Linked DNA regions of Drosophila melanogaster. The protein of the gene in region 2 purifies or fractionates together with the protein of the main gene of each other region. This does not show direct contact. Each region holds a gene or a part of one and is shown on either strand. Other genes may lie near its edges.

Evidence for each region.
Region 1: the proteins of yem (region 2) and BRWD3 purify together in Drosophila melanogaster (affinity purification with western blotting; one study listed by BioGRID). This does not show direct contact.
Region 3: the proteins of yem (region 2) and SMC3 purify together in Drosophila melanogaster (affinity purification with western blotting; one study listed by BioGRID). This does not show direct contact.

What each region holds. Positions count from the first base shown.
Region 1 is NT_033777.3:24,315,645-24,324,272, forward strand, and holds the start of BRWD3 (BRWD3), read left to right. Parts: upstream 1-3,355; 5' UTR 3,356-3,470; coding exon 3,471-3,513; exon of another isoform or gene 3,514-3,764; coding exon 3,765-3,823; exon of another isoform or gene 3,824-3,947; coding exon 3,948-3,977; exon of another isoform or gene 3,978-4,138; intron 4,139-4,372; coding exon 4,373-4,432; intron 4,433-5,023; coding exon 5,024-5,270; intron 5,271-5,331; coding exon 5,332-6,139; intron 6,140-6,218; coding exon 6,219-6,315; intron 6,316-6,379; coding exon 6,380-6,694; intron 6,695-6,752; coding exon 6,753-8,628. Other genes in the region: Nab2 (nuclear polyadenosine RNA-binding 2), read right to left, coding at 1-2,197, 2,252-2,477, 2,571-2,612.
Region 2 is NT_033777.3:29,117,830-29,128,250, reverse strand, and holds yem (yemanuclein), read left to right. Parts: upstream 1-5,371; 5' UTR 5,372-6,049; coding exon 6,050-6,289; intron 6,290-6,344; coding exon 6,345-6,566; intron 6,567-6,634; coding exon 6,635-7,454; intron 7,455-7,514; coding exon 7,515-7,662; intron 7,663-7,728; coding exon 7,729-7,968; intron 7,969-8,030; coding exon 8,031-9,369; coding exon of another isoform or gene 9,370-9,666; 3' UTR 9,667-9,921; downstream 9,922-10,421. Other genes in the region: Ctl2 (choline transporter-like 2), read right to left, coding at 378-2,444, 2,514-2,837; Atg14 (Autophagy-related 14), read right to left, coding at 10,138-10,292, 10,355-10,421. UniProt on the Drosophila melanogaster protein: May play a key role in egg organization. May be a transcriptional regulator having a role in chromatin remodeling in concert with Hira, a histone chaperone. Involved in chromosome segregation by affecting kinetochores function in the first meiotic division.
Region 3 is NC_004354.4:16,586,981-16,597,305, reverse strand, and holds SMC3 (structural maintenance of chromosomes 3), read left to right. Parts: upstream 1-3,866; 5' UTR 3,867-3,939; coding exon 3,940-3,954; intron 3,955-4,031; coding exon 4,032-4,146; intron 4,147-4,222; coding exon 4,223-4,362; intron 4,363-4,559; coding exon 4,560-7,679; intron 7,680-7,753; coding exon 7,754-7,966; 3' UTR 7,967-8,310; downstream 8,311-10,325. Other genes in the region: CG9784 (uncharacterized protein), read left to right, coding at 1-590; Ubc7 (ubiquitin conjugating enzyme 7), read right to left, coding at 2,497-2,615, 2,776-3,035, 3,119-3,200, 3,263-3,305; CG13014 (uncharacterized protein), read right to left, coding at 8,500-9,198.

The DNA.
Region 1 (8,628 bases), 4.8 Mb from region 2:
CGTCTCTCCGGAGCCGCGACATCACGATCGGGGCTGCCAGAACGACGCTTCTTACTCGCACTCGGCTCGTCCTCACTTTTAAGAGTGAAGCGAATGGGCGTGTGCTTGGCTTTGGTAGTTGTCGAAACGGAAGTGGACGCACTGACAGATTTGGCGGCCGATGACGTCTCCGCTGAATTAGATCTTACGGATTTCTCCTTGCTGGAAGCTTTCTTCTCCGCCCGCGCCTTTGGTTTGGCTGGCAGCGGTGGAGTTGTTGAGCCTTCCTCGATTTTACCCTTATCCTTATTGTCCTTGTGACCATTGGCCGCCGCTGGCTGGCGCTTGTTTGGTGATCGTTTCTTCGGTGACCCGTGCATTTCATCATCTTCATCGGTGTCATTTTTTATGATGATCTTCTTGATTTCCTGAGGCTGACGGCGTACCTCGTTGCGATTGATGCTGCGTGTTGTCGGCAGGGAGGGTGACCCACTGCTCTGTCTCGGCGATGGCGAGAAGCTTCTATCCCGATTGGATCGGCGTCGCTTGTCAACCGTCGTAGATGTGGGCTCAATATTAGAGGAGGACACTTGTGGCGTGGATACGGGTGAGGTGGATCGTTTACGAGAGTTGCTCGGCCGCTTGCGAGAGGCCCCTCCCTTGACATTCTTACCTCCGAGAGCTTTGTCGCCGTTTAACGTGACCACAAACTGAGTCTTGAGGGCTCCGGAATTGGGACTTGGCTCGTCGTGGGAGCTGATGTGCAAATCCAATTCATCCACGTTGGTCAGCAATTGCGGCACATACGTCTCGACGCCCTCAGTCATTAGGCTTGGCGTATATTCTTCCTCCACCACTTTGATCTCGGCGCGACGCTCGTTGGACCGCCGTTCACGCTTTCCATCCCTTTGTGTCACATTTACCACTAATTCCCGAGTGGTGCGCCGGAAGAGTTCGTTGCCTTGTGCACTTCTCTTTCTTCGTTTCCTCTCGCGATTCCGTTTACGAATCTGATCATTCTTATCCTCCGACTTGCGCTTGCCTAGAGAACTTATGATCTTGCCCACATCCTCGTCCTCCTTCTGTGTCGAAGTCTTGGCGAGGATTGTGGAACGCTGCGCGTCCGCCACTGCTCGCAGCAGGAGGTTCTTGCAGGCCTGTCGTCTGGGAGAAACATTTGGTCTTGGCTTGACCTTAATAACGGAGTTGACTGGCTTTTCGGCCATATCCTCATCGTCCGACGGCTCCGGTGGCTTGTTAACGGCCACAATAACTTGGGAGACAATGCGTTGCTTTGTACTTGGAGCCTCCGGACTAGGCGAACGACGCTGGCGCTGATTACGGTTAGTGTCCCTAGAGGTATCGCGGCTGGAGCGTCGTTCTCGGGTGCGCTCTCTTTGACTGCGCTCTTTGGTGGCCTCGGGTTCGCTCCGTCGCCGATGGGTCGGCACATAGAGCTCCTTTTGGTTGCGCTGCGAACGATCTGCCGGCGTTTGGGCCTTTGAACCGAGACGGTCATGCACCGATCGCCTTTCAGACCGGTCTTCCTTGGCCTTGTCAGCCGAAGAATCTTTTTTGGGGCTCTTCTCCTCCGCCTCCTCCTGGCGGGAATCGATCTCCGGTTCAGCCTCTGGACGCTTTTCGGGTGTCTTCTCGCGTCTGTTAAAAATAATGGGGCTCTTAGCTTTTCGTGGTGGAGCCTCCAATTTCGGGGGATCCTCTTCTGGCTCCTGGTCTACAGACTCCTCCCTCGCGCTCAAGTTCAACAGATCCTCATCATATTCATCGCTTTCATCCCCGATCTCGCCAATCTGGCGTAAATGCTTCTTGGCTGCATGAATTTTCTTTTGGATTTCGGCCAGCTCAGCGAGGTCTTTTTGCCGGTTAACACCGATAGTAGTTGAGATGATCTCAGACACAGCGGGCACATCCAGCGCCCTATTGGCCGATGCATCCTCATCCTCGATGGACTTGCGATTTTTCTTTTTGTGCAGGATCTCGTCTTTGGCACTGAGATCAATGTCCATGGTTTTCTTTGCCTTCTCGAGAAGCTCTTCGGCAAAAACATCCGTGATGGAACTGACAATTGGCATGGCATCTGAGGAACTTGGCTGTGGTTCCGACAGCTCATCTCCGGACTTTCGGTGCGGTCGCTTATCCTTCTTGGATCCTTTTTTGTCCTTCTCCTGACCGCGAGACTTGCGCTTCTTGCTGGAAGCTGAAAAAATTGGAGTTAGTGGGTGCTTAAGTATGATGAGCATATCCATCATACCACTGGATGTGGGGAGTGTGACCTCTTGGAGCTTTTGCAGCACTTCGTGCAGCCAGGTGACAAAGAGGTCAGTTTGATCGCCTAGGAATAGATTCAGCTCGGCGTTCATCTGCTGTTTGGTGCGCTTGTTGGCCACCATGACCATGACGTAGTCCGGCAATTCATCGTCTATAAAACCGGCCGATCCTCCGGTTCCCAGCTCCAGCAGCTTTGCCTTTACGGCGCTCTATTAATGAAGTGCAAAAATATATATAGTATTGGAGTATCCAATCCGAGCGGTATCCATAACGAGTTCATTGATTTTTTTCCAATGACTTACGCGCATCTTCTGACCAATCTCGCTGCCCAGATTGCACTCCATGTTTGCTGGTTTATCTATCGCCTTTTTCGCTGTTTATTCGCCGCGAGCATTTATTATTTACGCTTACTTTGTGGCTACACTCCACTTTTTGTTACATTAGAAAATGGCAAAACCTCCCAAAAAAAAAAAATATCGCAGCTGCTCCGATATTCATAACTAGTGGTGTGCGTTTGACATTAAGGGTATTCACGTTTAATTCACACGTTTTATAATGTATATATCGATTTTCTATAAACATAGCTTTAAAATAATAAATAGTTACAGAAATTTCATTTGAAATTAAAATGGCAAATTAAAAACTTCTGAAATTTAAAAATGCTCCTGGCCATGGCCATGAACTGAAGTGCAACATAACTTCAAAATAATCAACACCAATGGGACAATTTAAAAATATAAAAAGATTTCACTTGTTATTCATTAAATCATAAGTCTAGTTATCAAGAATTTGTGTAGTAGCTATTAAATTACATTCGAAAATTAAAAGCGAATAATTGCAAACAGTTTATTTAATCACATAGCTAAATATAAATTTCATAATAAGCTTAAATTCCAAACCAATGGCTACGAATATGTTTGACTGAGAATTAAAATTCTCAATTTGAAGTAAATATCTTAGATTGTAGAATCCTGCGAAGCATTTCAGTGCATCATCTCAAATTCAAATACGAAAATTGGCTCCTTCGGCTAAGACTCGATACCCATCTTGTGAGCCCCGCCACCAACTATCGATACGCAAAGGCATTTCATTCGGTGGGAATGGCAATCGAGTGTCACACGGGAAGAAGAAGCTGCGAAAAGAATTTTAGAAGAAAGCAACTGCAATTTTGTCATAATCGGAGCTGCAATTCGCAATGAATAATGGAAACTAGACAACCCAGTTCCGGTGATGATCTAAAGCCAGGTGCGTACCGCCCGGTGGCGCAGCGAGTGCGTCCAACGGGGCTACCAAAGGCAGCCCCTTTGACTTTGTGAAATGTGTGTCTGTGTTTCGCTCGCCCTTCGAATCGAATGGCTGCGTTTTTTCGACTGCGTTTCGCCAAGCGAAATTCACGGGCCCCTTTGGCCAGATATATCTGGAATATTGACGACTCCCAGCGAGCGCATTTTCGACAACTTGTTGCACTAAAACCCGTGAAATCCTCTATCTTGCAGAGCTGTACTTCCTCATTTCCAAGTTCCTGGCCGCGGGACCGCTGGAGGAGACGGCGAAGGTGGGTTGAAAGCAGCGCTCGCGCGAGATCGCATTGGAATCGTATTTCGCGCTAAAAGAGCGGAATTTCGTTTTGTTTACAAACATTTACATTAATTCTGAAACTAAATTCTATCCAACTGTAGGTCTTGATCCGGGAACTCGAAGAGAAGAAGGTGAGTTTTGTTGGTGCTGCAGCTGTGTTTTTGGCACAGATATTTCGGACTCGAATTGAGAGGGGGGCCAAAAAAAAAATAGAAAACCGCGTTTGTTTATACGCTTTGTTTTGGTTTTGTTGTTGTTTCTGCTGCCGGCAGCGAACGACGAAAAACCCACTTGTACGTCCGCTTGTCTCAGAGTTGGGAATCAGACTGAATTGTGGATTTGCTGGGGCCACGTGAATATATAGTCCATTAAAAAAAGAAGAGAAAAACATGAAAAAAGAAATGGAATCATAGGGATGCCCCCGCGACGTCATCGTCGACGTCACGGAGTGCAAGTGATAAGAGTCATACATGCATGCATATATATTTACACCCGTCTATATATACGTACACCTTTCGATTCCCAGGTTTTGCCGCGTCGTCTCGATTGGCAGGGAAACGAGCATGAGCAGACCTTTGAGGAATTGGTGAGTGTTTTCATAATTAATCAATTAGCTTTTCAAAGTTATCGTTTAATGCCTTTTGATCGGCATTTAAGTCTTGCGTAAGTGTGCGTCTGCTGCGGCATTTTCCGTCTCAGTCGTTCGCTCGCCTTTGTGACGTCATCGTGTCAGGGAATAGAGAAAAAGTTGCACATCAAAATTCAAGTTGTTAATTTAAAAAACATTACAACTAAAGACATCAATCATTCTGACTGTTAAATTAACAAATAAGTAAGCAACTATTTAATTAAAAAGGCAGCAAAAAATTGCAAAAATTCGTAAAAGACTAAAGTGGAAAGCAAAAATTCTAAAACCCTCGTAAAAATTGTAAATTTTGAAAAATCTTAATTTTTTAAACAAATGCTTTGTAATTTAGTTTTAACAATTAGCTGCAACCAGCCGACATTTTGGTTTCTCACACATACACATGCCCATGCGCACAGACACATGCAAGCAACCACCACTTTGCCTTGACTTGTGCGCGAGGGAACGAGACAAGCATACGTTGTTGAAGCTATCGCACCGTTTATCGCCCAATCGATAGGAATACGTTAAATTTTGATTTTGAATTCGCAGGAACGAAAGTACAAGCACATTGGCGCCAATCACTTGCTTGAAATATGCAGTCGTCTGGGTCCACTGGTGGATCGCGAGCTTCCGCCCAGTGTTCCGGGCATCAACTCGCTGTTGGGTACTGGGCGCCAGAACCTCCTGCGCACCAAGGAAACCGTCTACTGCCATCGCTCCTTAAGGGACTACTGCACCCGCCTGAATGGAGTCTCGCTGCCGGATTCGGTCCTTACAAAGCCGACCCACAACTTAGGTTAGTTGCATGGTAGAGTTTTATTCGCATATTAGAGACTAACCCATTTATATTTCCAAAGATCGCGTTCTAACTGGACGGGAACACGGCGGGGAAGTCCGTCGCAAGCTCCTCGTGCCCACGGACCTCTACCGCCGAACAAAATTGCTCCGTCGCACTGTGGGCCACCTGTCCTCAGTGTACTGTGTTCTGTTTGATCGCACAGGAAGATACATCATCACCGGAGCCGATGATCTACTTATTAAGATATGGTCAGCGGCAGATGGCCGCCTGCTGGCCACTCTGCGAGGCGCCTCATCCGAGATTACAGACATAGCCATTAACTTGGACAATACGATGCTGGCTGCCGGGTCATTGGATCACATACTAAGAGTGTGGGACATGCAAACCACATCACCCATCGCCGTACTGTCTGCTCACACGGGCATGATAACTTCGGTTAACTTTTGTCCGTCGCCACGTAGCGATCTGAAATATCTGGTGACTACCAGCACAGATGGATCGATCGCCTTCTGGCAATACTCAACGCCGCGCGGGCAAAAGATCACGTTTGCCCCGAAGCCAACGCAGTATCATGAGAAACTGCGGCCCGGACAAGCTCAGATGATGTGTACCACCTTTTCGCCAGGAGGCATTTTTCTGGCCGCTGGGTCTGCCGATCACCATGTGCGCGTCTATATGATGGGCGAGGACGGTCCGAAGCGAATATTGGAGACGGAAGCTTACACAGATGCCGTGGACTCGGTGCAGTGGTCGCATCGTGGACTGAGATTTATATCGGGGAGCAAGGACGGCACAGCACACATCTGGACGTTTGAGTCGCAGCAGTGGAAAAGTTCCAAACTATGCATGACGGAGCGTCTGGCCAGGTGAGTGCGATTTTCTTTAAAATGTTTCTAGCTAGTAAGGAATTCTCTGAAAACTAATAGCTTTGTAATTAAATTGCAGCTGCCCGGAACCAGAGGAGGGAAAGAGGCTTAAGGTAACCATGGTGGCTTGGGATGCCTCGGACCGTTATGTCATCACCGCCGTAAACGATTTTACTGTAAGCATCCGTCTTAAAACGTGCTAAACATTTACTTATAATTAATAATCCCATTTAAAAACAGATAAAAATCTGGGACTCGAAGTCAGCCAAGCTGCATCGTGTTCTGCGTGGGCACAAGGATGAGCTTTATGTGCTTGAGTCGAACCCAAGAGATGAGCATGTCCTGCTTTCCGCCGGGCACGATGGCCAGGTATTTCTGTGGGACATCGAGCAGGGCGTTTGTGTGGCCAACTTCCTTAACGACATCGATGGCCAAGGCCATGGCAGTGTCTTTGATGCAAAGTGGTCACCGGATGGCACAATGATAGCTGCCACCGATTCGCATGGACACATCCTGATTTTTGGTTTGGGCGTGTGCATTGAAAAGTACAAAATGGTAAGTTGATTGAGGAGTATTTTTCAAAGGATAAAGTTAAATGTATTTATTCTTTCAGCTTCCCACGGAGCTGTTCTTTCACACGGATTTTCGACCTTTATTGAGAGATGCGCAGCACCATGTGGTGGACGAGCAGACGCAGATAATGCCGCACCTAATGCCCCCGCCTTTCCTGGTCGATGCAGATGGCAACCCGCATCCATCAAGGTTTCAACGATTTGTGCCTGGTCGTGAGAGCTGTAGCCTAGACCAATTGATTCCAAATCTTACGGTAGGCGTGGATGGCGTAGTAATCGACGATGGAGGTGCAGGTGGAGATGCTGTTGTGGCCGCTGCACCCGCTGAAGCTCCGCCAGCCGCATTGCCCCCTGCTGCTGCTGGAGGACCACAGGGAGCTAACTACTCCCATATCGACCGCATGATTGCAGCCTTGGCCAATCGGCAGTCGGTTAATGTAAATGCCAATGATGCCAATCCGACCAACGGCAACCAGTCCTTCGAACGTTTGACCAATCGTCAAATGCCGGACTCCAATGGCAGGCAATCGTCACGTGGCAATGTCCTGGGTAGTCGTTTGAGCACGCCTCGCCAAGGATGGGGTGCCGCAGCTGCCGCGCCAGTTGAGGATCAAGCAGGGCCGTCTCAACCTCCGGCAGAACCTGCAGCCGAACCTGGCCAGGCACAAGTCCAACAGGCGCTGCCTCTGAAATTCATCCGTCGCACTTATGTGCGTCCCATGAAGTATCCCCAGTTGCAAAACCTTAAGCAGACTATTTACTCTGCCGGTCAGTTTGAAAAGCAGGAGTACAAACGCGAAATGCGACGCCGACCCATCATGATAAACACTGCCAGTGCAGCATCTTCGCAGCAGCCAGGAAGCGTTGGCAGGCCACGAAACACACGTGGCAATGGCGGCGGCGCAAGAGCTGGACGAAGACGTGGCCCCCAGCCAGCTGGCGGACAGCCACAACCCGCTTATCGCACCCGCGCTGTTCGGGATCAGGAGCCGGAGCACTACGATGAGGTAGCGCCGCCACCCGAGGAAGAGGAGGAAGATGTGTCCAGCAACTCGTCCGGCGACACGAGCTACTCGAATGTGGAAGAAAACCTAGAGGACAGCAGCGATGAGTCGGAAACGGACAGTTCCGATTACTCTGACTGGGTGGCGGATACTCCTGGCCCGAATCTGGAACCACCAAAACGATCCAAGCGTAAGCCACTCTCACGGCGACCCCGGAGTAGTGATGACAGCAGCGATGATGAGCGAGCGGGCAGATCCAGAGGTGGGCAGGTTACGGCCCGGAAGGTTGGACGTAAAACTGTTTTGTTTCCGCCCACAGATGCAAATGGAGAGATACCGGAGCTTTATCGTCCCGCTGAGTGGCTATCTGAGGTGATTCCACGTAAGGCACCCTATTACCCCCAGATGGGTGATGAGGTAGTCTACTTCCGGCAAGGACACGCAAAGTACTTGGATGCAGTCCGCCTGAAAAAGGTCTACAAGCTCTCGCACAGCTCGGAGCCGTGGAACTTTCACACACTGCGCGACCACGAGCTGGTGCGTGTGATTGGAATCAAGTACGAAATCCGCCCACCCCGATTATGTTGCTTGAAGTTGGCCATCATCGATGAGGAGGGCAACATGACGGGGACAACGTTCAAGATCAAGTACCATGACATGCCCGACGTTTTGGACTTTTTAGTGCTGCGGCAGACCTTCGATCTTGCAGTGCAGCGCAACTGGAGCATTGGTGACCGGTTTCGCTGCATGATTGTCGATGGCTGGTGGATGGGTCAGATTGAATCGCGCCACGCCCTCTCTGCTGACTTCCCCGACTCGTCCTTCATGTGTTTCCGCGTGCGCTGGGATAATGGAGAGTATGAGTTTATGAGTCCCTGGGACATGGAACCCATCGATCAGCAAAGAGTACCGG
Region 2 (10,421 bases):
TGTGTCTTCAATGAATTCATTTTTATTAAATTCGAAAATTATAATAATTATCGTTAACTTAAACTTCATGAATGTGAGATATGTACTTTTGTGTCTCTGTATACATGTTATTGTATGGTATTACTTTTGGTCTTTATGGTCCGCGCCTATCACATGTCTAGCCGCACAAAAAACTTTACATATGGATACGGATACTGGCGTATTATATACACTAGATTAAAGATTAAGAGTATTGGCAAAGGAGCGTGCATTTAATGCAAACCCAATTGCAGCCGGTTGAGCAATCGCTCACAACCCCGATCGTTTCGTTTTGGGCTATAATAAATATATATATATATGTTTTACTTCAATAAAGTTATAATTTGCACTGCTGTCTCCTACTTTCCGCGGCGCTGACGCGGCGGCAGATTGTTCTTCTTGCCAAGAATCTTCATTAGCTGCTTGGACATGAAGAACGGCTTCTCCGGTGAGCCGTCGTTGCGCTCGCAGTCCTCCAGGAAGCACAGAAACAGTGTGTCCACTGCCGTCGAGTACACACCGAAAAACACGCTCGTTATGAGAAAGGCGGCAATTACCACCACCGTGGTGGGCACTGCTATGTAATTTAGCCGAATAATGCTCGGATTATTGTCCAGGAAGTAGTAGGTGGACGCCCCCGCCCCTGCGGTTAGCAGCAGTTTCGACAAAAAGAACAAAAAGTCCGTGACCTGATCCAGCGTCACCACACGCAGGAAGTTCCTCATAATCAGATTAAACGAGTCCGCGGCACTGGAGCAGAAGTTCTTGCCATGAATGGCGCACATGATGTAGGCATTCCGATTGAGGAACTTCAGGAAGGTCTCCAGCAACCAGAAGAAGCAGCGCATGCAGCAGAGGATGGCTCGTGTCACCGCATTGTCGTACTTCTTCAGCTTCTCGTGGATGTACTCCAGCACCAGACGGATCAGCCGGACGATGGCCAGGATGAGCGAACCAAAGGCCACGGTGCCCAGATGGTAGACAGCAGTTTGAAAGAATGCCCTTGTAAGGGTGAAGTAGGGCACATCCCTCTTTTTGAAGGTCCAGTACCATCGGGCGAAGGTCGAGGCCAGCACCATGTAGCTGAAGGCGGAGATGAAGAAGCTCAGCCAGAGGAAGCCAAAGACGTTGTAGAAGATGGCCCACTTAATCTCGATTGGATTGTTAATCGAGTCAAAGCTGCAGGTGGTGTTCAAGCAAGGGTTTCGGTTCTGGAAAAATGAGGTCAGCCGAACGCTACAATATTGCTGGAACACTTCTGGCTTGCAGGATCCGCCCACTGTGTAGTTGATGGCTGGACCTTCGCAGACGCAGTCCTCGGTGGTCACTTCGCCACTTTTCGTCAGCTGTCGCACCATTCTAAACGAAGGATCGCCAATTGAGCCCAGATACAGGCCCACGCCAATGGCAAACGCTATGGCGGCAATGAAGAGTATCCAGGAGAAGATGGGAAAGAACACGGTGCTGATCACGCTGCTCACCGCCTTGCTGCCCTCCTTGGTTAGGGCGATCGCTATCCGGATGCGCTTTCTTAGCACAATTACCAGCAACAGGATAACCACGAAGCACACGCCTACGAAGATGGACAGGTAGAGCCAGGTGTTCTGGTTTTGCAGGACATTCTTGACCGTGGAGTGTAGATTCAAGCCGTGTACGGGAACCGTAGGCGTATTCTCCCAGTGGATGTACTGCTTTACGGAGAAGTAAATACCCACCAGCAAGCCGATAAGCACGCCGAAGATGGAGAACCAGAGAATCGGAGCCGAGAGCCAGCGCATTAGAGCGATGTAGATCAGTGAGGCTACCAGGGTGCAGAAGCAAGCCACCAAAACGATCGACCAGGAGTTGACAAGATCCTCGACAATCTTTTCTCCCAAAAGCTGGGCGTCGTTTGTGCCATTGTAGAAGTGGGCCACCATGTTACCAACGAGCTTGGCCAGCCTCGTATCGGTCTGCATCATCTTCTCCTTGATGACAGCCTCGTTGAGTCTGCGCTTGCACTGGATGATCGGTTCCTCGTCCACTGGAGTCTGTTTGCCATTCGCCTGTGGAACAACGAGAGCCTGGGCATCCGTCATTTTCTGGTACATGACATCGGCCTGCATTTGAACTTCTGTGGTGGCGTTTCCGGGCAACATATGCAGCTCCCGCCTCGACCTTCCCCCATTTAGCAGAAACGAGGGAATATAATCACACACGCCCTGCGAGAACTCGAAGAGGCATCGTTTGAGGAATGGAGCACTCTTGATGTACCAGCGTGCGCACTGGTTCTGGTTAATGGCATCCTGAATGTCCGATTTGGTGCGAATCTGCGCCTTGTGCTCCTCCGACAAGCAGATGAGGCGACTATGCAGCTCCGCAAAACTTTGTTTGTCCTTCATAGTGTCCCAGACGAACGTCTCTCGGGGACAAGTCTCCACACAAACCTGTTGAAATACGTATTTCATTAAAAGTAAGATCAACTCCTTGCAAATTTGATGTTAATGGTATCTCACCTGTGGAGTGTCACATCCAGTGATGGGTACAAGTGGATCGATGCACTGATTCAAGTCGAAAAAGAATAGGTTTTTCTTGTTCAGCACTCCGGAGTCCATGCCACACTTTCGGTTAAAGGAGTCCGTGGGCACCAGCAGTTTGTTGAGATCGCCGTTCCTGATGGCGTATTGGGCTATGAAGGCCCATCCGCCCAGGAAGAGGACGAATAACAGCAGGCAGGGCACATCCGTGCAGCTGCGATCCCTCTGCCTCGGTCCCGTGAAGTTCCGGTCGTAGCGCAGTGGCTCGCCGTACTTGTTCATCAGCTCCACGCTTTCCGTCATCGCTCTCTACTGAAAGAGTCCAAGAAGAACCGAGTGTTTTATGTATGTATATACATAGAGCCACTATCGATGGGTCGTCGTCTCTAGGTAATGAGATTGTCAGGCGTATATCATGTAATTTATTTCCGTGCATGCGTCATTGTTTTAAAAATGGAAAACCGAATCTGTAGTGGGTGGTCGTGTTGGCGGTGAAGCCAACCACCAGCGGCTCTTTTTGTTCTAGTTTATTTGTTAGTTTGGTTGGGGAAAGTACGATGAGTAAATGAAATTGTCGGCGACAAAGTGCGGTTTGATTATATCAACGACAGGCGGCCAACGATCCCTTTTGGATTGAACCACAATTAAATAATATTTCTTCCTATGTTTATGAATAAGACTGTTTAACCTTTTAATGATCAATGAACCTAGCTCTGTAACAAAGTTTTCTACTGGATAAATGAACTTTAAGAATGGCTTTGGATGGGCTGGTGAATTATCCATAATTATTGCTAATACATTCTCCTACAGCAGACTCATTTAATTAATCATGAAAGCAAATAGAGAGCAGAAATAAATAAAGTATCGCTCATTCGGTTTAAGAGCTCCCCTGATAACGATAGCGATCGCAACTGTACGAACCTCTTGGGGATGCGAAAATCTGCGAAGAGGTAGCAGTAAAGCAGCTCGAGCATGTCGCAAATCGGCAATAATGACGCATTAAAAAGCAAATTAAATTTGTGCGCTCACTTGTTGCTGTTGTTTGATTGTTTATGTGTATCGCTTTATTTTTGTGTGCGGCTTCTGTCCATTTGAGATGAAAAACTGGCTGCCGCCTTTAATAGATGAATTACCAAAAAAACACACAAGTTTTCATAGAAAATGGGAAACCAATTTGGGTTGGCAAGGCATTTGGGGCCACATGTTTCAAGGTCGATTGCCGTAACTCCATTTTGGTGTAGGAATTTCAATGTCTGGGAGTAGAGTTTATCATTCAAGCAGTGCTACGGGCAACACTCTCAGTAGCTAACCTTTTTTTCTTGCAAAGAAACTTGTAGACATGATAAGAAAACGGGTGTTCGTTTTGATATCTAACCCATTTGCATAATTTGTAGTGTAGAAAACTGGTTTAAACCTAAGTTGTCCTTGCATCGAGTGTTTACTGTGTTCACCTTGGACTACGTCACTTGAGATAAAAGAAAGCAGTCGCAGTTCTGATCTTATCTTATAATGGTAGTCTCTTGTTTCCCATATGAACGATTTCCCCTTGTTGTTTTTTGGAACTACAAATGTACAAGGCCCCGTAATTTCGTAATGAAGCAGTATTACTCACCTTTGCTTCGGAGCCGAACGATTCTTCCAGAGATGTAACAAAGGAGCTCCACTCTTCTCGTCGCTTTTCCTTTCTTTCTTAAAGTTCCTTTATTGTCTCATGACACTTTTTTACGAGCGGCTGGGGGCTTTTTGTTTAGCTGGTTTCCTGGGACGGAGTCACTACTCCGGCGAAAGTCACCGGACCACTGAAAGCGGGAAGCCTTTGTCGGAGCTCCGTATCCCGTACGTTGCTCTTTGGACGTCGGTCACTTGCATTCGTTGGATAAATATGTACATACATACATAAAAGAGCTCGAGTGGGGCTGCAAGCATAAAGGCAGCATAAGTGTTTATGTGCTAGTGTTTGTGTGGTGCCACTTGGGGATTGGGGGTGGGGGAGTTGGGGATTGGGTTGGATTGGATTGTGAAAAGAGCAGCACGGCACACTTTTGTTAATTGCACAATCCTAATCGTTTTCACCCGATAACGAGCACTGGCCATTCCCGTTATAATAACACCTTGCAGTTTCGACCGAATTCGAATTTCTGTGCATGCAACTCTTTTCGTTTCGCTTGTTTTTGTTGTGGAGCGGGCGCATGAAATTAAGCCCCCAAGCTCACGTACTGCGACTCACTTGCACTTGCGCTAATTAAACGGCGAGCACTTGACTTTCTACGAAGTAAACTCCTTCACAATCGAAATAATACTGAATCGCCCCAAGAAAATCTGCCCACCACCCGCGGCCCCATACTCTGAACAGCTGTGCCGAACAGTGCTGCACAACGGCCCGTTCTGGTCAAAACAAAGCAGAAATGTGTGTGGAATGTGGCACTGCACAGGGATGCACAAAAGCTAGTGCGAGTGTTGGCCGCTTTCAAGCCAGATCTCGTTACTTGTTGGAAAGTTTTAGAGCCGCGTAAGTTATAAAAAAGTTTACATTATATTTTGATTTTGGGTCCTTTTTAAACAATTAAGCTTACAACAGCATAAGCCACCTATATATTTTACGTAACCTATCAACTTGGTAGCTCGAAACTTTACTTTAAAAATGAGCTAGATGCCAAGCTAATGAATTTCTAACTAACGGAATTTTGGAAATACATAGCACCCATAACAACTAAATATTGCCAAATGCAGCCAGCCGCAGCAAGTCTCGGCTTGTGCTGCGCGCAGTGTGAACGGCTCGGAGTAATTTGCGAAAACCGCGACCAGTGCTGCGCAACGCGAGTGCGAAAGCCAAAAGCAGGGTCGGATCTTTGGTGCGGGGTGGAGCGGAGAGAATGTAGCGTTGAGGATTTTAACAAGAAACAATTTAAGAATCGCGCTCCTGGCCGTGCGAAAAGCGCCTGGTCGAATCGTTTAAATGTCCCCTTTGGTAGCGTCGATTGCGTGTGTTTAATCCCCGGTGCGCTGCTTTTACAGACTGTGTTGTTTTCGTGCCGGCAAGCCAACCAATTTGAAACCCCCCAAAAAGTTTCCACTTTTTCATTCCCCCAGAAAAGTGACAATTATTCGTGGCCGTGGTCGGCGGATGCAGCTGCAAAGCGGGCGGCGATTAAAGTAGTGCAATCCGGCGCAGGTCCTCGCCATTTGTTTATGTTGATAAAGCAGTGTTTGTGGGGCGACAACAAGAAAGTGCAGCTCAGAGTGAAATTGCCACGGTTATTAAGTGGTTGTGGTTGCTTGGTGTACGTGCAGAAAACCTAAAACAGACATCCCCAGAAGAAGAGGAAGCAGCGGAAAAGGAGGAGGAGGAGCATCAGCAGCAGCGACGTCTCTGTTGTTTTTGTTTGGCTGCGAGAGAGAGAGAGGGAAAGAGCAACGAAGAACACGCGGCTCTTTCGAAAAAAAAGGGCGGGAAGGCCCTTTCGGCTCAAAGGAAACCCTATCCCACTGAATATCCGTAACTCTGCCCGCCGGAAATGTCAAAGGGGGGCGAGCACAAGCGCGTCACCCTCACCTCGATCATCCAGGGCGATGCGGGCTTCTCGCGCTTCGGCAGCAACATCCTGGAGCCTGATGCTGCGTCCGCTGCACCCGACAACAGCTCCAAACCCACGACAAAGACTGCCAAGTGCATCCGCATCAAACTCGATCTGTTCGAGACCGATTCGAACAAGTATCCCGAGTTTAACTACTCCCGGCTTTTGTATTTGGAAAAGGTAAGAGTGTATAACTCAGTTGGAGGATCGCTTTCTAAACCCTTGCAATCCGTAGAAAAAGACCAAAAAGCTGAAGCAGGTGAGCACTACCAATGGCTCCGCAAGCACTGATCCCTTTGCCGACAACGATGACGATGTGGCACGGATCGTCAAGGAGCTGGAGGCCAAGTATGGCAACTCCTATGCCACAGGCAGGGGGAAGAGCAAAAAGGACGACTACCGGGACATTGGAATGGGCTACGATGAGTCGGACTCATTCATCGACAACACGGAAGCCGTAAGAACAAGAAATATTTCCGACGAATGCACTGAAATTATTTACCTTAAACTCTATGTTCTGTCCAGTACGACGAAATCATACCGGAGGAGGCGGAAACTCTGGAGGGCGGCTTCTACATCAACTGTGGCGCACTGGAGTTCAAGAACCTCACCAAGAAGTCCTACACCACTCGAACAGATGCCATCATCAAAATGCCAGAGCGATCACGCAAGCGCATGGTCTCGTCCAGCTCGGAAAGCTCATCGTCATCCTCGGGCGATGATGACGAAAACGATGATGGCAACAATGAGGAGGACGACGAGAGCGATTCCGAGGACGACTCCGAGGAGAACGATGAAAGCGACTCCGAAGACGACTCCGAGAGTGAAAGTCTTGAGGACGAGGACTCTGCTGCTACAGCCAAATCCAGCAGCAAGTACAAAGACAATCATCAAGCTAAGCGGGCCAAGGTCATCGTTACGGGCAAGTCCAAACCAAGCTCAAGTTCTTTGACGAGTGGCAAGAAGCCGCCGACTAAGCCGATCACCACTTCCTCATCCTCAAACTCGCCACGACCCAGCACGGTGGAGATTTCGGACACGGAAGACGGCCAAGACCCTATCCAGACTCAGCCATCAAGTCAGCTTCAGTCCCTGCCGCAGAGTCAGGCCCAGGCGCAAGCTTTAAAGAAGGTGGTTAAGACCACAACGGTCAAGGACATGCTAAAGGCCAAGCGAGACAGCTTCCTGAAGTCGCAGAGCGGCACGGCAGCTGTCAAGGGCGTCGGCAACGGCGAGCTGAAGTGTGTTTCCACCGACGTGTCCAGCAGCGATAGCAGCGATATGGAGTCTGAGCACGGCCGGGCAGATAGGCAGGCCGGTCAGCATGGCAAGGATGGGCAGGAAAGTGAGTTACATATACAGTATTAGTTGGTTGAAATCACCCTTTCACGTGTTCATTTTTAAGATCTTCGCACCGCCGACACTCTGCTCCCCACCACATTGGATGCGGACATTGTGACCGCAGTCAACAGCTTCAAAGAAGCGGTGAAGAGTCGAGACATGTGCGGCAAGAAGTTTAATCTGGATGTGAAGCTTTCGCCACTACTGCTTCGGTGAGTTTGCAGCCGATGTAAACATCAAGTACAGATTTAAGGCTTATATCCATTAACCTACACCAGGGTGTACGAGGCGGTGCTGTGCACGGACCGCAACGAGCGCAACATGGTCTTCTCCCACATCGAGTATCAGCTGCAACTGCCCAAGTACTACATGCTGCGCAAAGGGAAACAAGTGCGGGCGAAGGAGGAGAAGAGGAAGTCCACCATTATGCTGGAGAAGCTGCGGCGGGCTGTAGCTGTGGTCATGCCTAAGGCGGTGGCCAACTATGAGACGGAACTGCGCACATTTGCTGAACAGGCGTAAGATTGTTGTTAAGCGAAATAACGATTAGGTTCCTTTAGATTATGATTATTATTTTCAGAGCTGCGGACGTGAACTCCGAACTGCCGCCCAAAATGCCGCGTAAGAAGTTCCAGTGGACCAGCGAGCTACGCCATCTGCTGTACGATGTGTACCAAGCGCGTTGGACGTCCTACGCTTTCCTAGCCAAGCGCAAGGAATCGTTGGAGGAGTTCATCAATTGGTATCTCAAGGAAAAGGTGGTGGAACTGTGGCCGCCAGGCTGGATGCGTTTGGATGAGTTGCAAAGGGAAATAACACGCTACAAGAACGCCAAGCTGAAAGCAAAGGAGAAGCCAAAGGCACCGCCGGCGTCCGCATCGCCCAAGCCCGTTGGAGTTGTATCTGCTCCTGAGCAAATGCCGCCGGCAAGCAGCTACCTAAAGGCAGTGGAGGACCCTCGATCTCGAGGTAACTCCGATACGGACTCAGCTACAAGTGCCTCCTCCAACAGTCTGAAGCGAAAGCTGAAGGAGATGCCCAAGCAGACCAGCAAGCCGCCAAAGAAAAAGGTGGCTAAGCAGGTACCGCTGCAACCGCAACTTACTCCGCATCCGCAATTCCAGCTGGCGCCGGCTGCCACGGCGGCCGTCAGTATACCAGCCATTAGCAATAACAACAACCACCTGCCCCACCTGGACACGCTGCTCTCCATGCCGAGCACCTCGGCTCAGGCAGCAGCACTCAATGCCGCCGCCGTAGCAGCCGCCAGTACGGTTCTGGATCTGGCATCCCCTAGCCGGAAAATTGACCTTAACACCAGCAACAATTTCTACAATCTGATCACGGCCGCCTCCCTGGCAGCCAGCGGGAATCCCAGTCCGCATTCTGGAGACGGCCAAGCCAAGGTGATTGTGGGAGCTCGGCCCTCTCCCCATGTGATCAACCTGGATGACTATCAATGCACCAGCGATATACTTCAGACGTCCAAGCAGCTAGCTGCCACCACCACTGTCATCACCGCCATCTCAAAGGCCGCGCAAACGACGTCGGTAGCCAGGGAAAGCAGCAGCGAGTCGGATGGCGTTGAGATTGTGGGAGTTTTTCCTGCCTCTAAGCCCCAAAAGAAAGTCCAGTCTAAGCCCAAGAACAAGACTCAGAACAGAGGTCGGTCGTCTTTGGGTGCGGTGGGGCAGGTAAATGGATCCCTGGGCTACAGCGCGAATAACATGTATATCTACAATAGCCCAAGAACGCTGGGTCCAGTGTACGATCTCACCGATCCGCATATAATGAAAACTATGTCAAATCTGAAGGAAATGGAAAAGCAATTCATTCAAGCGGCTTTCTCGCCGAACAGCGTCAAGGGCGCAAGCGGAGGAATGGGATCCTCAGCGCCCAGTACGCCCACGCGCCAATGACATTCGGGATCGGCCGCACAGCAGCCCCTTCCGGCTGCTGTGACGGCCTTTTACAACCAGGAGGCGATGGCCGCCGCCATCGTGCTCTCCACGATGAGCCACGCCTCGCCGCGCTACGACCTGCTGGCCAACGGCTCCGTCTCCATGTCCGCCGCCCAGGTGGGAGCCTCTGCCAACACACTGCCACAAGTATTCGTTAAACCCAGCCTGCCGCAGCCCAGCGCTGGCGGCGATGTGGTGACCACGACTGGAGCTGCTCGCCCATCCACGCAACAACTGCCCACAAAGTTCATTTAGCTAGGGTCACTCAGCTCGTTCCCTTGCGATTCTAATCTAAGATTCTAGTGCTGATTCTAGGTAGGTTTCATTCGCAGCTGTGTCTGCCGATTTTCCAATTATTGCACCAGTTTAATTATTGTTTCTCATTGAGTCGTTTACCTACTAAGTCAGTGTACTATGCAAGCATTAATAAAGCAAATTTATATATATTTATTTATAGAGAACCATTTTTATTAAATAAAGGCGAATAAGTTATGTAATAGAAATAAATCCAAAAGGCGCATTTTCTTTACACACAGCGAATATATATGTATATATATAATTGATACAAAATTAGTTCTGTAAACCAAAGGATAACGCTAAAACCAGCAACTGCCGATAAACACCGACGTGCTGTCACAGAAACGATTACTTAGTCTAATTTGTAAAAGATAACACGCGTGTCTCATGATGATATAGCCGAAAGATCGGACGTCTGTTGGTCTGCGATCATTTGATCCAGCGCAGCACCGATGTGGCCGCCATTCGCACGAAGGCGATGGTAGACTGCTGGTTGGCCGCCGGCATCAGATTGGGATCCGCCAGCTCCGGCTGCGGTGTCAGGCTGGGCACCGCCTCCCAGTCCATGCGCAGAGAGTTTTCGTCTGGAAAGGCATCAGCATCAGTTTGAAAAGATTATTCCCCTCAAATTGCTAAACCAACTCACCCTCTGACTCCGATTCCGTGGCGGTCTCGATGCCGATTAGTAGGGAGTCCACTGACTTCATGAGTGG
Region 3 (10,325 bases), on a different chromosome or scaffold from region 2:
AGCTATCCATTGAGCAATGCTCGTATAAGTCCCATCCCCTGTACACCATCAGTGATCACAAGCCGGTGACCAGTGACTTTACCATCAAGCTCTACCCGAATGTACGGGCGCCCGGCGTGGTGTTCTCGCCTCTGTCGCTCTGGAAGATTGGGGACGAGAACACGGTGGAGTATCACAAGCAGGCAGAGTTCGACGAGGGGTCCAACGACTGGATTGGCATCTTTCCGTCGGAGTACGCCAGTTTGGCGGATTACGTAGCCTACGAGTATGTCAATCAGGCTGAGTCGCCCTCATCCTCGGACTCCAATCACCAACCGGATCCGTTTGAGACGCCCTCGCATCATCGAAGGGGTCGGCATCATCACAGGAATCGCCAGCGACAGCGTCGCCATCAGGAGGCTAATGCCCAAGAGTTGGTGCGGCTAGATTTCGCCGACGATGTGGAACTGCGTCACGGCGAGCAATACCTGTTGATATATTTCCGCAGCACCGGAGTCCGGGGCGTGACCAGTTTGGCCGGCGTCAGTGGTGTCTTTGTGGCGGAGAAGCGGCACGGCTCGCCCCATCGGACGGAGTACCATGTTGACTAGCTAGCCGAGGCTCTGGATATCTTTATTCTTTAGTCTCTGTTTCCATAACCGCCGTGTTGATCTAATTTTATTGACCTCATGTGACCGTGTTAAGTTTGCTTGTTAGCTGTTGACTCAGCGCCTCCTCTCCTCTCCCCCCCTCCAAAATACGTTAATACATACATATGTAATTATACATAATTATCGAACCAATAATATTTGTGTTTACTACCAATTCCACCTATTCCCGCCCTGAATGAATCCCGCTTTTTCGTTTGCATACATATGTTCTATTTGCTCTGCTGTCATTTTGTTATTTTTATTTGTACGGTGTCATGGCACTAGATATTTGTATTTAACCGGTTTGTCAAAAGGTTAATTACGCCACATTCACTGTCACACATCTACACTATGACACACCCTGTTGCCAGTAACAGGCAAAAACTTATTGATGAGAGCCAGGTGAGAGCTCTAAGCCAAAATGGGCAGAAACCGGAGTCTGAAAAGTGATATTTTTGAATGCCTCTCAAGTGAAATATATAGAGAAAAGGTATTATATTGAATAGAGTAGCAAAGTATGAATATAATTTTATCTTCATTTAACTACTATTTAATGTAGGCAAATTGTATTTAATTTTTTGAATAACAAAAAAGAGAAAAGTGAACTTTTTAACCATGATTCTAAACCAACCAGCTCAACTTACGAAAGATTTTTAATGTTTTAAACAAAAAGAAAAGGTTTTTCTCCGGAAACGTAGACTTTTATAAAGCGGCATGCGATGTTTTTTCCATTATCTGATTGGTATATAATCTATAAAATTTATATAAGGATAGTTTAGATAAGAACTGCACCTTAACGATAGCTGCAACCCAAGTAGACCACCAAGCAGAAAATTCAAGCAATCTGCATTGACTTCCCCCACCCACCGTACAGTGGGTCAATGGAAATCCGAACTGGCGCAGCCCTTGCCCACTCCCACTAATTGGCAATGTTTTGATGACTGACTGACTAACTGGTGGAACGTACAGTGGGCCGTAAAAGTCTGTGGTGCCCACCGTACTCGAACGATCGAATGGTGTAAACATTTTCGAGCCCATCTATGGTCCGAAAACCAAGAAGACAGAGAGCATTAATTTATGCGGGCCCGGTCAATTGAAATTCGTGTGGCTTAGTAACCTTCAGCAACTATTAGATAACTATATTACCCTCATACCAGTGGACACTTAACCAATGTATGTGTATGGGTGTGCATTTACCCACCTACCTATAAACATATAAATATATATATATATATACATACATACAGTCGTATGCCTTATCAAAGTGAACATTAATCAATTTACTTAATCGAATGAAAACGTTTACAATTGTGTAGTATTTTATGAGTACATAGGACAATTTCATGTTGGATTTCAGTTAATGATCAGTCGAATTAAGTGTGTAATGACTATATAAACCAAACATAAAGCATAATGCAAATCAAACGCCTCAATCACTTCGAATACATTGCCCTTGCACTTGAATTATCGTAATTTCTATTTAACTTTTCAAAACAGCATCTTTATAAAGCATCAATACAAATTATATCTAGTGAAAATATATAAAAAAAAATAAACCTTTAATAATAGAAATTATTAGAATTTTCACTTTTCTTGCCAACTTCTCACTCCGCCTTCACCTGGCCTCGTGTCCAACTACCAGTGATGTACTTCAGGTAATAGGCCCTCCAGTTAAGTCCGGTGAGGCAGTCAGTGTGCTAGATAAACTTGAGTTAGTCGATTTTGACGTTAGGTTCTTCATTTTTGCTAATTTGAAACTTGTGTCGGTTAGCTCAACGAGGGATTTTTGAGAAAACTATGGGTTAGCGAGTTGTTGGAATCGTGTTGTTCAGGGTAGAAAGTATTGACGGTGACGCACATGATCCATTTACGCCGGTAAACCAAGAGTTTTGCGCACCAGCCGTCGGGCGATGGCGTTGAACTCATCCCTCTGTTCGCGCCACATAATTGCTGCATCCACATTAGCGCCGCTCTCATCGTTGGGTTCTGTGGGCAAAAATGAACGACATCAGTTTGAACTTAAGGAATGAACAAGTGAAGTGAACTATCGGCATGATCAACCATATAATCTAGTGAACAAATGAACTTGGAAGTAGATACCCCCGTTGGAATTGCCCTTAAGACTTTATTGTGACTTTTTTCTTACCCGCCAGCATGCTGACCACACTAAGCAAAATCTTCTCCACGCTCTGGACAGGACTCCAGCGCTCCGCGGATAGCTCGTAGCCCATGGGATCGTCGCCGGGTGCGTGTAGTATTGATATGCAGACCCGCCCGTCGGCGAATATGTTGGGATGGAACATGTCACAAGTGAATTTCATTTTAGGCGGACTCAGAGGATAGTCGGTCGGAAAGATGAGCCGGGCAGGAAACACTCCGCCCTCGAAACAAGTGCCCTCAGGTCCGCTGCAAAGGGCAAAGTGCAATTAATGGGTTAATCTGTCCACATCTGTCCGATCCGTGTCGATCGTTCGGGGATCTTAACTCACGCAATCAGTGCCTCCCACTCGAAGAAGTTGTCCTCGCTGATGGGGCCGGCCACAATGCCCTCGGGCGGGTCAAGTGTTAACTCTGGAGATGATCGGAGCGGTGGTAAGGGAAAGCTGTTGCTGCCCTGTGGACTTTCGACTCACGTTTGTATTCCGCCATCAGGCGGCGCAGTGCGGACCCAGCCATCCTAAATGCGCTCGATGGTAATGATGATGGTTCAGTTCACGGGCTCCTTCTCCCCACTGTGACCACTTCCTTTGAGTTTCCTTCAGCTGCTTCTCCGTTTCCTGTCCACCTGCTCCTGCACCTGCTACACCCGAATGGGGTCCTTGCTTGTTTTGGCGGCAATCGCGAACTTTCCAGATCCTCGGGCACGGGTCAAAATACAGACACGTCGTAATATAATAAACACAAACGGTGTTCCGTGTTTATTTATATCGAATGAATCGAGTGGCTTTCTATAAAAATATATCTGTACTGAGTGAATTTAACAAGAGTAATCGATTCGATTCGATAACGTCGGCTATCGTTGTTTTAGTATTTCACACCTTCAAACTACCTTATTAAATTAATTATTTGTTTGCTTCTTAAACCATTATTGATGGACACTTTTAGTTGTAAAATTTAAAATTATTTTTTTGTTTTATATCATTTGAATTTTTGGTTCGATTGCAAGCCAGTGTTTTTCAAAGTTGGGATATCGATGACATCGATAGTGAAACGCAAACATCGATAAGTCGCTGCCCGAGTCGATATTATTTATGTATTTGTTGTAAAACAAAAAGAGCGCGATTTTGTGCAAAAAATCGCATATAATAAGATGCACATCAAGCAGGTGAGTGTTGAAATGACGGCCATGCTCCTGGCCACCCATTGGACACCGAAGATCTGAAATCCACCCGTTAATTCCAGATTATTATACAAGGCTTCAAGAGTTACAAGGACCAGACGGTGGTGGAACCATTCGACAAGCGCCATAACGTTGTTGTTGGACGTAATGGCTCCGGGAAGAGCAACTTCTTCTACGGTTAGTATCAGCTCCAGCCTGCCTGTTCAGCTAACCATATTTAATCGACCCTAATGCTATCCCATCCACTTTGCAGCCATCCAGTTTGTGCTAAGCGATGAGTTCACCCACTTGCGGCCGGAGCAGCGTCAGTCGCTTCTGCACGAGGGAACAGGTGCCCGCGTCATCTCCGCCTATGTGGAGATCATCTTCGACAACTCGGACAACCGAGTTCCAGTGAGTAGTCAAACCAAGTGACCCAGAAAACATAGTCTTTGCAAGAACTCTACTGCCTTGGAAGATGTAGTCAATGGTTGTAACATATCGCTCAAAATCCTCTAAAGCAACCCGCTCATAGCATCTTCTCATAATATTCAAACTTATAGGCAAACATTTCTAGCCACTTCATAACTGACGCTACGCTTATTTTGTAGATCGACAAAGAAGAGATCTTTCTGCGGCGCGTGATTGGCGCCAAAAAGGACCAGTACTTCCTCAACAAGAAGGTGGTGCCGCGCAATGAGGTGGTCAATCTGCTGGAATCGGCTGGTTTTTCCAGTTCAAATCCCTACTACATTGTCAAGCAGGGCAAAATCAATCAGATGGCAACTGCCGCCGATTCCTATCGTCTCAAGCTGCTACGCGAAGTCGCGGGAACGCGTGTTTACGACGAACGGAAGGAGGAGTCGTTAAATCTATTGCGCGAGACGGACAGCAAGGTGGAGAAAATCAGCGAGTACCTAAAGACCATCGAGGATCGGCTCCAGACGCTCGAAGAGGAGAAGGAAGAGCTAAAGGAGTACCAGAAGTGGGACAAGACGCGCCGCACGCTAGAGTATATACGCTACGAAACCGAGCTGAAGGACACCAAGAAGGCTCTCGACGAGCTCCAGCTGCAGCGCAAGTCGTCCTCGGACAAAAAGAAGATCTACAACATTGAGATTCAGAAGGCACAAGAGAAGATCAAGGATGTGCAAAAGAACCTTAAAGAGGCAAAGAAGAAAGTGCAGAGCACAAAGGAGGAGCGCTCCGTACTGATGACGGAGCAGCAACAGTTACTGCGCGAGAAAACGAAACTAGACCTAACCATTGTCGATCTAAATGACGAGGTTCAGGGCGACAACAAGTCCAAGGAGCGGGCTGACCAGGAGCTTAAGAACCTTAAGGTAACGATAGCCGAACGCGAAAAGGAACTGGACGACGTAAAGCCCAAATACGAGGCGATGAAGCGCAAGGAGGAAGACTGCTCCCGAGAGCTGCAGCTCAAGGAACAGAAGCGCAAGGAGCTTTACGCCAAGCAGGGTCGCGGTTCACAGTTCTCCTCTAGGGAGGATCGCGACAAATGGATCACCAACGAGCTGAAGTCAATTAGCAAACAGACGCGCGATAAAATCGCTCATCACGCAAAACTCGTGGAGGATCTGAAGAAGGACGCTACCTCCGAAAAGGATCTGGGTCAAAAGATCGAGGAGCACTCATCGGAACTGGAGCAGCTCCGACTGCAGATCGACGAGCACAACAAGAAGTACTACGAGCTTAAGAAGACCAAGGACCAGCATCAGTCCATGCGAAACGAGTTGTGGCGCAAGGAGACACAGATGACGCAGCAGCTGCAGACGCACAAGGAGGAGCTATCGCGGGCGGACCAGGCGCTGCGCAGCATGGCCGGCAAGCCGATCCTGAACGGTTGCGATTCTGTGCGCAAGGTTCTCGACAGCTTTGTGGAACGTGGCGGTCAATCGGCGGAGATTGCGAGAGCCTACTATGGACCCGTCATTGAGAACTTCAGCTGCGACAAGACCATCTACACGGCGGTGGAGGTAACAGCCGCCAATCGGTTATTCCATCACATTGTGGAGTCAGAATACGAGGGCACGCAAATCCTCAAGGAGATGAATAAGCTGAAATTACCGGGCGAGGTGACCTTTATGCCCCTGAATCGACTTCAGGTTAAAATACACGATTATCCGGATGATCCCGACTCCATACCTATGATCTCCAAACTGAAGTACGATGAACAGCACGACAAGGCGCTGAGGTATATCTTTGGAAAAACGCTAATCTGCAGAAATTTGGAGCGCGCCACCGAGCTGGCCAAGAGCACTGGGCTGGATTGCGTTACGCTGGACGGAGATCAAGTGTCCTCCAAGGGATCCCTCACTGGCGGCTATTTCAATACATCCCGTTCCCGTCTTGAGATGCAAAAGAAGCGCACGGAATACACCAGCCAGATAGCTGAATTCGAAAAGAAACTCAGCAAGCTGCGAAACGAGCTCAAGTCCACCGAGAACAACATCAACTCAATCGTATCCGAGATGCAGAAGACGGAAACGAAGCAGGGCAAGTCGAAGGATGTATTCGAAAAGGTGCAGGGCGAGATTCGCCTGATGAAGGAGGAGCTGGTGCGCATCGAGCAGTATCGTGCGCCCAAGGAGCGCTCACTGGCCCAATGCAAGGCCTCATTGGAGTCCATGACCAGTACGAAATCTAGTTTGGAGGCGGAGCTGAAGCAGGAGCTGATGTCGACGTTGTCGTCGCAGGATCAGCGTGAGATTGACCAGCTGAACGACGACATTCGTCGACTGAACCAGGAGAATAAGGAAGCGTTTACGCAGCGTATGCAGTTCGAGGTGCGCAAGAACAAGCTAGACAACCTGCTGATCAACAATCTGTTCCGGCGTCGCGACGAACTGATCCAAGCGCTGCAGGAGATTTCCGTGGAGGACCGCAAGCGAAAGCTAAACAATTGCAAAACGGAACTGGTTTCCGCCGAAAAGAGAATCAAGAAGGTCAACTCCGATCTGGAGGAGATCGAAAAGCGGGTAATGGAGGCTGTGCAACTGCAAAAGGAGCTGCAGCAGGAGCTCGAAACGCATGTGCGTAAGGAGAAGGAGGCCGAGGAGAATCTTAACAAGGATTCCAAGCAGCTGGAGAAATGGTCGACCAAGGAGAACATGCTCAACGAAAAAATCGATGAGTGTACGGAAAAGATTGCCAGCTTGGGCGCCGTGCCGCTAGTTGATCCTTCCTACACACGCATGTCCCTGAAGAACATCTTCAAAGAGCTGGAGAAGGCAAACCAGCACCTGAAGAAGTATAACCATGTGAACAAGAAAGCCCTGGATCAGTTCTTGAGCTTCTCCGAGCAGAAGGAGAAGCTCTATCGCCGCAAAGAGGAGCTCGACATCGGTGACCAGAAGATCCACATGCTAATTCAGTCATTGGAGATGCAAAAAGTGGAGGCCATTCAATTTACGTTCCGACAAGTGGCGCAGAACTTCACCAAGGTGTTTAAGAAGCTGGTGCCCATGGGCGCGGGCTTTCTCATCCTGAAGACCAAGGACAACGAAGGCGACGAAATGGAAAAGGAGGTGGAAAACTCCGATGCTTTCACAGGGATCGGCATTCGGGTTTCGTTCACCGGCGTTGAGGCTGAGATGCGTGAGATGAACCAGTTGTCTGGTGGACAGAAGTCGCTTGTCGCCCTGGCCCTCATTTTCTCCATCCAAAAGTGCGATCCAGCTCCCTTCTACCTATTTGATGAGATAGATCAGGTGAGTCGTCACATTACCTATAATTACGCATTACTTTATTTGATTGACTAATGATCTACTAATGTTTTGTGCAGGCGCTGGATGCAATGCATCGAAAGGCGGTGGCGAACATGATCCATGAGCTCAGCGACACTGCCCAGTTCATTACGACAACGTTCCGGCCGGAATTGCTGGAGAACGCGCACAAGTTCTACGGCGTGCGATTCCGAAATAAGGTCAGTCACATTGATTGTGTGACCAGGGAGGAGGCCAAGGACTTCGTCGAGGACGACAGCACCCACGCCTAGGAAATTGCCCCGCCCAAAACCTCATCCCTCAACCCACCACAACCATCTCTCGCCCCAATTATTAGTTTCGTAGGCGTACGATTTGTTTTCACATTCTTTTAAATCGTATACATATATATATATATAGTTTTCTTTCTAACGATACTTGCTACATTTAATTTTCCTTAACAATGAGAGTTAGTTTTCGGCTAGGCCGTGCTCGTTGCGTGGAACACTTCGAGCCGGCGAACAAAACCGAGAGTATAGAAACTCCAAGCCCAGATCAATATGTAATAAAGCGCATAGAGAAGTAATTTAAACTATATTTAAAACGAAAATATGTATTAAAAAGCTTATGCAAAAGGAAACCGTCTAATCCAATATAATTCCACACTTTTATGTATGTATGATAACAATGCAATAATTGTTTCGAAATAAGAAGTCTGGTTTATTACTCAAAAAATTGTTCAACAACGTGCATCTTATAATTAAATGTTGGTGTCTTAGAGCTTGGCAATCAAGGCTCCAGTCCCTGGTTGCCCGACCAGCTACTCTCAGCTGGCCACAGCGTCCAGTTGCTCCTGGATGGCATTCAGCGCAAAGATGGTGCTAAAGCACATGCCCACGGTGGCCACCTCCAATTGGCTGATGTTGTAGTGCAGCGGCAGTCGCCACAGGACAAAGTGATTCAGCAGAACAAGCAGGGCCAGGCCAAGTGACCACCAGTGCTCGTCGACGATGGCGATGCGCCAAAGACAGTGGACATTCCACAGAACACAGAGGCCCAATTGCGCGGCATCCAGTTTTATGAATGTGGCACCCAGTGGACTGCGACTGTTGCCGAACCACAAGCTGGTGACTGCAAGTGCCAGTACAGCGCTCCACAGTCCAAAGGCCAGACGCTCCCAGTCGGCGCCGAAGAAGTCACCCATTCGGGTGGCCGGATTTACGGTCTGCAGCTCGCCCACCACCAGGGTGACAAATAGGACGCAGGAGTAACGTCTCGACTTGTCGCACAGCAGACGCTGCACTGCGCCCGGATTGGGATGCGTGTGCCGCAGCAGGCAGAGCAGGCTGTGGCCAAAGTAGATCCCAAAGGCGGCCATCGCCTTGCTGCCGGTGCTCCGTTTCAGACCCCAGCCGGAGATCACGGCCAGGACGAAGTGGATCAGGCACAGGGCTAGCAGGGAGGTGCCACCACTGGACCCCGGCAAGGGACCATGATTCGGAGGAGGACTTCTGTTGGACACCATTGTTTTGACTTGAGAGCGATCACGCCGGTTGCCGGTGATTCCACCTCAAGGTGGCAAATCTTCCGTCCAGTTTGCGGACGGGCGACTTGATTCCTCGACCAAGTTTGTTGCCGATGTAACGGCGGATAAATGATCTTTAGTTAAACTTTATTAAATATTTGTTGCATCAAAACAATAACAAGATTTACGTCAATATTAAATCAGTATCGTATTTCGACATAAGCGTGGATTTTTTAGGTGGTTTCTTTCATCGATAGCGTAAATTCCTCGATAATATAACGGATTCGGTATAAGTGTGGACACAGCCTTGAAATATGCCTTTTTGAATTTGACTGTTCATCCGGATAAATATGCCTCTTGTAAAAGCATACTTGTAATAGGTCGAGTTCTACATAAGGAGAATACAAAAGTTTACAACAGATAGTTGATCAAACATTTCATTTTTATTTAATCAACTAGCATTCACGTGGACAAAAACGTATACAGATGTTATTTTTATATACTAGTGGATTATATAGTAAAATACTTAAGTTTTTAAGATTGTATAATTTCTAATAAGAAAAAATATTCTTATGGGCTTATTTTGATGTCAATGCAGCAAAATGTATGCTATGGTTTTTGAAAAGGGAAGTAATTTTCAGTTAACAATATAACCGTGCATTTTTTCTTATTATTTACGAACCTAAGAAGTCGTGTTTTATTGCATCGAATTAAATTACAATATTATAAGTTTTTAGGTTTAAATTACTGATTTGTTAAAAATTTCAATCCGATTTGAATAAAACTGCTAGTTGCTTTTTGTTCCATCCCTATTATATTATATCCAACTGAGAGTTTTCATATTTCCATACACCGCGAAACGGTCACACCGCACCGCATTCAGTCCAATCGGAATCGCTCCTCGATAAGCCCAGACAAATCACGCCTCTATCGATTTCTTATAAGAAAGGAAAACGAACGAGCGTGTTATCGAGTGCAACATTTGCGATTTGCCCTGCTGCGCGCGTGCACTTTTTATTAATCTCCCGTATAAATCAGATATCCGTGTGCATTTCGAACGCGCTCCGTCAACACACACACAAAAATTAAGTAAAAAGTTTAACACGAATTGCGAATAGCGAAAAAAC